Oryzias latipes: one gene and its partner. The protein of the gene in region 1 interacts with the protein of each later gene in a pairwise test. Links are inferred from orthologs where the notes say so. Each region holds a gene or a part of one and is shown on either strand. Other genes may lie near its edges.

What was found.
Region 2: the proteins of ankrd40 (region 1) and ahcy interact in binary tests that used the Homo sapiens proteins (3 or more experiments, as listed by UniProt). The two-hybrid records come from large-scale screens. The link is inferred for Oryzias latipes from reciprocal best matches to the Homo sapiens genes ANKRD40 and AHCY.

What each region holds. Positions count from the first base shown.
Region 1 is NC_019866.2:13,503,926-13,508,246, reverse strand, and holds the start of ankrd40 (ankyrin repeat domain-containing protein 40), read left to right. Parts: upstream 1-1,497; 5' UTR 1,498-1,930; coding exon 1,931-2,064; intron 2,065-2,663; coding exon 2,664-2,812; intron 2,813-4,321.
Region 2 is NC_019863.2:24,733,877-24,738,144, forward strand, and holds the start of ahcy (adenosylhomocysteinase), read left to right. Parts: upstream 1-1,389; 5' UTR 1,390-1,493; coding exon 1,494-1,521; intron 1,522-3,490; coding exon 3,491-3,681; intron 3,682-4,268. UniProt on the Homo sapiens protein: Catalyzes the hydrolysis of S-adenosyl-L-homocysteine to form adenosine and homocysteine. Binds copper ions.

The DNA of each region.
Region 1 (4,321 bases):
TTTTATTGGAAAATTTTCTTTTGTGTATATGAAATTTAGCGATAAATAATACCATGTTTACACAAAAGAAAGCATCACGGTCTTTGACATCAACGCTATGAAAACCAAAAAGTATGTTTTTATAATAAAGTTGTATGTCAGCAAAAATAGAATCGGTGATAAATTTGTGAATGTTTTTCCAAAATCTGTATGTAAATTCACAAGACCAGAATAAATGAGAGCAGGTTTCAGGTTGTTTCTGGCAGAAAGTACAACTGGTGTTTATGTCAGCCTTAAATTTAGTTAAATAATGCTTTGCTGGATAAAATCTGTGTAGGAGTTTAAAAGAGATTTCTTTGACTTTATTTGTTAAGAAGTATTTTTGTGGTAAAGACCAGACTTTTTTCCAATCAATGTTAGAAGTGAAATTAGCCTGGTAGTTCTTCTGATTTCCCCGTGTTTTTTTCCCCAGGCAAAAAAAATAATATATAATTTTTTTATAATTTAATTTTCTGCCCCCCACAAGGTATTTCAGGAAATTCTAGTCTCGAAAAGTTTGGCTTCTCCTGCAGTTTTTCTTTTGGTAAGAATTTAAAACGAGCCATTAAAGGGCAAACTGTGTGCTAATTAGGAGCTATAACTTTAGAATACTTTCAACTAGTAATGTCAAATCAAACGTTTAGCAATTCAGTGCAAACAGGTTTTTTCAGTTGTCGGGTGGAAAATAAATGTGTTTTTAGCTAGGTGTTGCATTTTTGTTTTATTTATTTTTAAATATATTTAATTTACTTTAACCATATACTTTTCTTTGGCTTCTGGTATTTAAAAAATATCATTATTAAAAGGGTTTACATTTTTGAGGGAATTGAAAATTTTGTAGAAACGCTAACCTGTTCGGCAGCAGTTTCCGGTTTGTTTTGCAAAAATTCTTAAAGTTATGTTTAACTATTTAGGCTTATTTAGAGCACGTTTCTCTCATTTTCTTGAACAATGATTTAAGTTTTATTTATTTTTTTAAATTTGCTTTATTTGGCTTCAGCTTAACTTTTTCATATTTACTTTTTCCATGAAATTATTTTAATCGTAATTATTTTGTAAACTATGATGTTTATTTTAATTATATACATGTATTATTTTCAGCTGTGAATATATGCATTCATAATATTATACTTACTTTGTTTTCAACCCCATTATTTAGTCAGCCAAGGGCTCTAATATTTCCATCCATCATTTAAAATTGAATTTTACATTTGTTGTTAAATACTAGTCAAATTATTATTTTATATTTTATCAAGAAACAATTCCCAAATAACGTGTAGAAACTATAATTATTTTTACGATACAATCATACACAAGCCGAGACTGACAGCAGTGTTGCACCTGTTACCATGCTTGGAAGTTCGCACTAAATTTATCATTTTATTCGTGACGCTGAGGGCAAAAACAAAGAATCTGACGTTAAGTTTGGTATTAATTAAAAAGTAAAACACGGAAGGTTATTGCGTGAAGTAACCGCTACCATGGGAACGAACATTTGTGCGCAGTTGTCACATCTTAACGTTCCCCCCCTAGTGAGACGGTGGCGTTTTACACCGGCAGACCTCTGACTGTCACCACAGTTTTAGGACTGAACGAGTGTTCAGGGTGACGACAGCGCTTCTGTGGCGTCAACCAGCAGCATACATAAATACAAAGGAGAAAAGTAGCTGTTTCCCCGTTAAATGGCGGCCACGACGAAGTTACGTTAGCTGAAGCTACAAGCTAACACCTCCTCAAGCTAGCCAGTAGGTAAGGTTAGCCGGGGTAGCTACAGTTAGCTGGAGAGTCTGTTCAGCCCGAGCTGTGTGCAATCACTTGTTAAATCGGTCGTGGATTGTGTTTTGACAATTGATGTAAATAGCACGGCGGTTTTGCACCATATGATCTAACATCGCTAGTGTTTTGTGGCAAAATGTCCACGACTTCGTTGGATAAAGAATTACAAGAGAGGCTGAGAGAAGCATCTGCTATCGGGGATCTGGACGAAGTGCGCTCGTTAGTGGAGAGTGGAGTAAACGTCAATTCCCAAAACGAAATCAATGGATGGTAAGTATTACGAAAATGTTTAATCTGACCAAAAATGAGTCCCCAGTGTTGTTTTACGATCAGCAATTATCACGTGTCCTTGATGTAACGAGGATTAAAAATGCTCACTGTTATCCTATTACACAAAGCAGAGCTTGTTAAACCGCCAACATTGCGACTTTTTCCTTTGCTTATCAAATTGTGTTTTCACTATCAGCTTCTGTCTGATTGTCCAGGACTCTAACTTCCAGAATTGTTGTCTTTATAATCAGTGTTCCTTAAGTCCCACTCCAGTTATATTTCAATCTTTTGTAAAAAAGTTCAGAGTGGTCTTTTAATTATGATTTATAGGCAAAATCCAAAAACCTGTTGTGCTCTAGGCCATAGTTTCTGCAGAGCGGAAATTAGAAAAAAATCACCTCTGCTGATATCCCATCATCCCTTTGTTTACACTTTCTCCCTTTAGCTTACAGCCCACACCTAACATTAGTGGTGCAACAAAAACGTCAAAAACACAATTAACACGATTTTCTTTGGAGTGGGTCTTTCAAGTGAAAATATGTTTATGCTATGGGCCACATCTCATGTCTAAATGCTTTTTCTTTCATTGTTTTCTTTAGGACATGCCTGCACTGGGCTTGCAAGAGGAACCATAAGCATGTAGTGACCTATTTACTAAGTTGTGGGGCAGACAAAGAAGTCCTCACGGCTAAAGATGAGCTGGCGTCTCAACTAACATCCAAACCAGAGATCAAGCGACTGTTAGGCGGTAAAGTTCTTCTAATTACTTTTTTTATTCCCCAGGATATGATATCCACTCTGTGACAGATGAGACGTCAGTTAAAAAATTGTATCTTATAGAATACATTTGTCTTTGGTTAATACACTCCAAAGTTGAGCTATAGGGTTTGTCTTTCTATAGTATTTTTCAGCAGTAAAATGATATCTACATGTATAAATGATATTTACATGTGGAAGGAAAAACTTCAGTTAGTTGCAAAAATATTTGCAAGTCCACAACATTTATGTACATATATATATTTAAAAAAAAAAGGTAAACCTGTAGAAATCTAATTTTTCCACTTGTAAAAATATTTTCCAGGTGCTCAGAAAAGTCTTAATCTTGTGTTTGGTTCACAAAATTCTTCACGCTCAAGTTACGTCCTCATACTTTTGACGCGAGTTTTGCAGATCAACCAGTCAGCACCTTTCTTTCCAATCGGTGTACCAGCTCTGCAAAAATGTTGTATTTCTTCATTCATACGTTTTTTTTCTTACAATTTTCATTATTAAAACCATAATTAAAAATAAAAGTCAATACTAGAAATGCGTTTTCATTTTCAAAATGAAGCTGCATTTGTTGACTCAAAATTATAAAATGAAAAAGCAATCCGCCAAACCGCTTTTTCATTTTCTTCTTCTACATCGCTTATTCTGTCACTTAAAACGCTGGGGCGATGGCTTCAGTGCTCGCTGTTCTACTGCGTTGTTGGTCCTACCAGCTAAAGTTCAGCATGGCAAAATCTGTGCTAGAGGGAGGCTGCAGCTGTCCTCAGACGGCAAAATTAGCGGGAAACAGCAGGAGATGATTTCTAAATGTTCTTTAACTATTGTTACGATTATTATTAAGGACCTGTTCGCTCATGCGGCCAGTGCTTTATTCTTGGCTACAAGGACCGGGAAGAAAGGTTAGCATTAGGCTAAGATGTGCCAACAACAACATTTAGCTGTGATGAACTTAAACTCCTTGCGGGCGATGCCGCGATGTGTCTCTTGGATGTAAATTTGTGGGAATAACATCAGCCTTTATTTTGTCTTGACAACACTGGAACCACAAATTCACATGATTGTTTACACGGTTTCTCAGGACTGCGCAGACTGACCGCGGTCCGAAGCCTCCTCCGGACTTGCTTGGTGTTTGCAGGCCGGGGAGGGGGCTTTGTTATGGTGTGCGCTCCGTCCAAACACGAAGCTAGTCCGGATGAAGCTTCGGACTGCAGCCAGACGGACTGCGGTCCGAGGCTTCCGGACCACAGAAGGCGGAAATGCTGCTACGCCGTCCGGAGAAACCGTGTAAACCATCAGGAGCGCACACCGTAACAAATTCCCCTTCCCTGCCTGCAACCACCAAACTAGTTTGTAGTTTTGTGTTAATTGGAGCAAAACTGTAAAAATTCCAGGTTTTGATTAACAAAATAAATCAACACAAAGGTTGATGTTCACAACTCAACCTACTGAGAATAAGGTGAGATTCAGTTAAATTTAGTCTGCAGTGTTG
Region 2 (4,268 bases), on another chromosome or scaffold:
TAGTGGTGACTCTAAATTGTTCTTCAGGAGTGAATGTGAGTTTAGTTTATTTCTCTGTGAACTGGTAAACTGCCTTTGGCCTGGAGCATTTGGGATTGGCTCCAGCAACCCTTGACCAGAAAAGAGCTGGAGTAGGAAATGAATCTTTGCATACTGGATACAGGGGGAAAAAAAAGTGCATTTGGTCTCAAACTTTGTTTTACTTTTTTAGAATTAATACTGGGATAGCTGTCTTGAGGCAAATTAGCATGAAAAATTCAATATACGCTCAAGTGAAATGTTGCTGCTCCGAACTGATCATTCCACCAAAGATACCTGATAAATTGTTGAGTTTACAGGTTTTTCCAGCACAACAAGCTTAAACAGAATCTCACAGTGTGGACATAAAGGGGATAACAAATACTAGCTAAAAATGCACACACACACACACACACACACACACACACACACACACACACACACACACACACACACACACACACACACACACACACACACACACATATATATATATATATATATATATATATATATATATATATATATATATATATATATATATATATATATATATATATATATATATATATATATATATATATATGTGTGTGTGTGTGTGTATGCACACCCCTGTATAAAAACGTGTGCAAGATCTTGTGTTTATTAGTGATTTGGGGATATGAAAAGAAATAAAGACATTGAAAAAAAAAGCCCACAACTCCTTTTTCTGTATTTATATTTATTAATTTAACCAGAAAATTATTTGATTGTCAGTAAGTTCATAGTGAAACTGAGTTCTCCTTTGCTCTTAAAGCTACAGCAGACAAGTTACTCATTGAACCACTGATTAGATAGCTTACATCAGTTAGACAAGCCGATTGGGTTGCAGTTGTTGGCTAAAATATACTAAAGGAGGCTCTAATAATAAATATTCAAAAGTAGGTGATTAATAAACAAGTCTTTTTAGAGATTACAGAGTTTTACCGCTGGTAAATCTTACTGTCTATTTCAGTGTCACACAATGTTATGCTTTGCTATAAACTCTTGTTAGTAAATAGTCCTTAGTTTTTAAGACTTCACTGAGATGTGAGTCATTGTGAAACTTCAAATGTGTAACTGTTAAAATCAATACACGCAGATTTACAGAACAGGACGGTCTCCTGTCTACAAAATCCAGAAAAAACTTGCTCCAACCAAATAAAACGTTCCGTGTCCTTCCCTTCCCTGCCGCCATCACAAATCCACTTCTGTTTGGCTAGCTCCATTTATCGTTAGCCAATAACGTAATTCTGTCGTGGGGCGGGAGCTGCCGCAGCCAATTAAATGTCAGATAAAGAGCCGAATGGTGCCGCCCACTCGTCTGAACTCGCCTGCATGGAGCTTCCGCTATAAAAAGCGAGTCGTCATGTTGTCGTTCCTCCCTCTCTGCCTTCGTCCGTCGGCCAGGCCGCAGCTTATTTCAACCACCCCGGAACAAAACATCAAGAACAGCCATGTCCGAGAAACTTCCCTACAAAGTTGGTCAGTGGTGACCCTTTATTAATGTTTATTCTTATGTCTTTGACGTGCACATTTTTTAAGTGGGAAAAAAGAAACAAGCGAGCTGTGTTAGCAACATGGTCGTGCCAAATGGGAAACCGGCAAATGCTAGTAGTTCCACCCAGCGAAACGAGGCTATTGCTGTTCATGTTAATATCTTAAACGTTTACCCTCCGGTTGTGTTGTTCCCGAGACCATATTCCATATTATTAATAATTAGCACGCTGAATGATAACTATGTCGCTGAATGAAAGAGTCGTCGGTAAAGCTTGACCTAATGTTTCGCTTCTACTTTTACCTTGTTGGTCTTTACATTTATTATTCATACACTATTTGCAGACTTTTAATCAGTTATGAGAATGAATCGACATGGAAATTGCGCCATGTATGACCATTTTTGTGGAGCGAGAGTTGTCTATAATCACCCTGGATGATGTAGTTTTGGGTAAAGCTAGAGGCGTTACAAAAGTAGCATTCATTGTCTTTGTGGACTCAAATTCCCATGATGACTAGCGTTTCACCGCCAGTTTTACGTGAGTGACAAGAACAGGCAAGATATGCTGTTACCGCATGTCAGGAAAGCAGCACGTGGTCTTTTTTTGTAACACCAAGTCAGTAATAGTTTACATGTCTTTTAAATTGTATTATTACCTCGAACATAAAAAAAAAAAAAAAATAGGTAAACTTACGATGCATTTAAGTGACTTGTTTTAGGAAGTACCGGTAAGTAAAAGTAAAAAGACAAAAAAGGGTCTAAACAACCTATAATAAATTAGCTTGCCACATTCCACTTTATTTGTTCATTTTTATTTATTTATTTTTCACACATGCCCATTAAAAAAAATTAAAAATTAATAAATACTGAGAGGCTGGGGATGTTGCTGGTAGTTTGGTTTAGTACTAACATGTAACCATGTAACCAAATATGAGCAAAAATATGGTCAATTAATTTACAATCAGAAATAAAAACAAATCATTGTAAAATAACACAAATCAAAACACATTTTTACTATTTACATAGTAGATGAGACAGTTTTCAGGTAACCTTTAGTAAACTTTTTTTTTCTTGCATAACTTAAATTCAGTACTCTACTACAGCATTTCCCCCTTTTCTATGTCAAACCATCCTTACTGGAACCACTAACTTGATTAAAAAGAAACATGTTTCAAGGCTAAATGTATTTGTTTAATGGCTAATGCTTATAAATGTTATTACGTTGTGCAACAGTGATGGGTTATCATTTCCTGAGGTCATAAAAGTGACCGTGGAGGCAGGACAAGACTGGAAGACGTGCTTTTCAAACATAACGCAGGAGTGACCCTTCTGCAAAATGACTGACCCACCACTTGTATAGTAAATGAGTATTATGAAAAGTTTAGGATGTTAAAATCTAATGGATGCATAGGCTTTGTGAAACTTTGGGACAGAGTGTGGACTTTACCCCAGACTGAGCCGATGTGTTGGTGGGGAATTGAGCAACTTGTTCAGCTTCTCAGTCGATGCATTTGGATGGAATTACGACAGGTTTACTCCAAAGTCAATGACAAGGATCAAGAGTCTTTCCACTAGCAGAGATGAGTGCGGCAGCAAAATCTAGCAACCTGAGGGAATTTTTACATGGATCAAAGAAAAACAGTCATATAAAATGTCCTCAACATTGAAACTAAAGCTGAAGCAACACAGAAACATTGAATTTCATATGAAATTGTGTCATAATGTTATTTGTCCTTTCAGTGATTCCATTTTTATTTGATATTTCTAAGTTATTAAAGAATTGTGGGTTCAGACGGGCAGTAACATCTGTCTATTAAATATTTACTTTTGTGTACAAAATGGCTCTAAATCATTTTTTCCTGTGTTTTGAACTTCAGTCTGACATTTCTAATGCAGTTTAAGACACGAGTGGAACAGGTACTGATTTCTTTTTTGATGTCCCGGTTGCTGTTTTAGCCGACATCAGCCTGGCTGAATGGGGGCGAAAGGCCATCGACATCGCAGAGAATGAGATGCCCGGCCTTATGAAGATGAGGGAGCTGTACGGGCAGTCCAAGCCTCTGAAGGGCGCCAGAATCGCCGGCTGCCTTCACATGACCCTGCAGACCGCCGTGCTCATCGAGACCCTCACTGCCCTCGGAGCTGAGGTGACCTTTACTTGTTTGTAATCGTGGTTTCATCAATTAAGGAAGGAAGAAGCCGCAGTTATTTTTTTATTGTTTATTTTGGAAAACCATAGCCTAAACCCGGTCTTCCTGGATTACAGAGGAAAATCTCCCTCTGAGGTTGGCTCAGATTAGCAGCTTTGTGAGACTTGGACCGGAACGTTACAGTGCAGAGAACCATCAGAATGGCGCTGTTCTGAGCCGGGTCTTGTCATAGTCCCGTCACAGGTGTAAAGACCCCCCCCTTTCCCCCTGTTCGGTCAAGGCCGGTGTGTTCTGTTATCATGCTGGTTTAATCTGTCCAGCCAGGACTGGTCTCCTCCTGCAGGAGCCAGCAGAACAGAGGAAAGCTGCTTTCTGAAGCCGGTAATCTCCCAAACCTCCATTTTGGTTTTATCTCTGCAGCTGTGCTCAGCTTTCAGTGACTCAATTACATATGTTGCATCTAAACGGGCTCCTGAACTTCTAAATGTCCCAACCGTCCATGGTTAAAATGTTTTTGGTGCACACTAGCATAACTGCTGTGGTTAAAGCACAGAGGAAAACAAACTTGCTCGTGATTTTTCTGT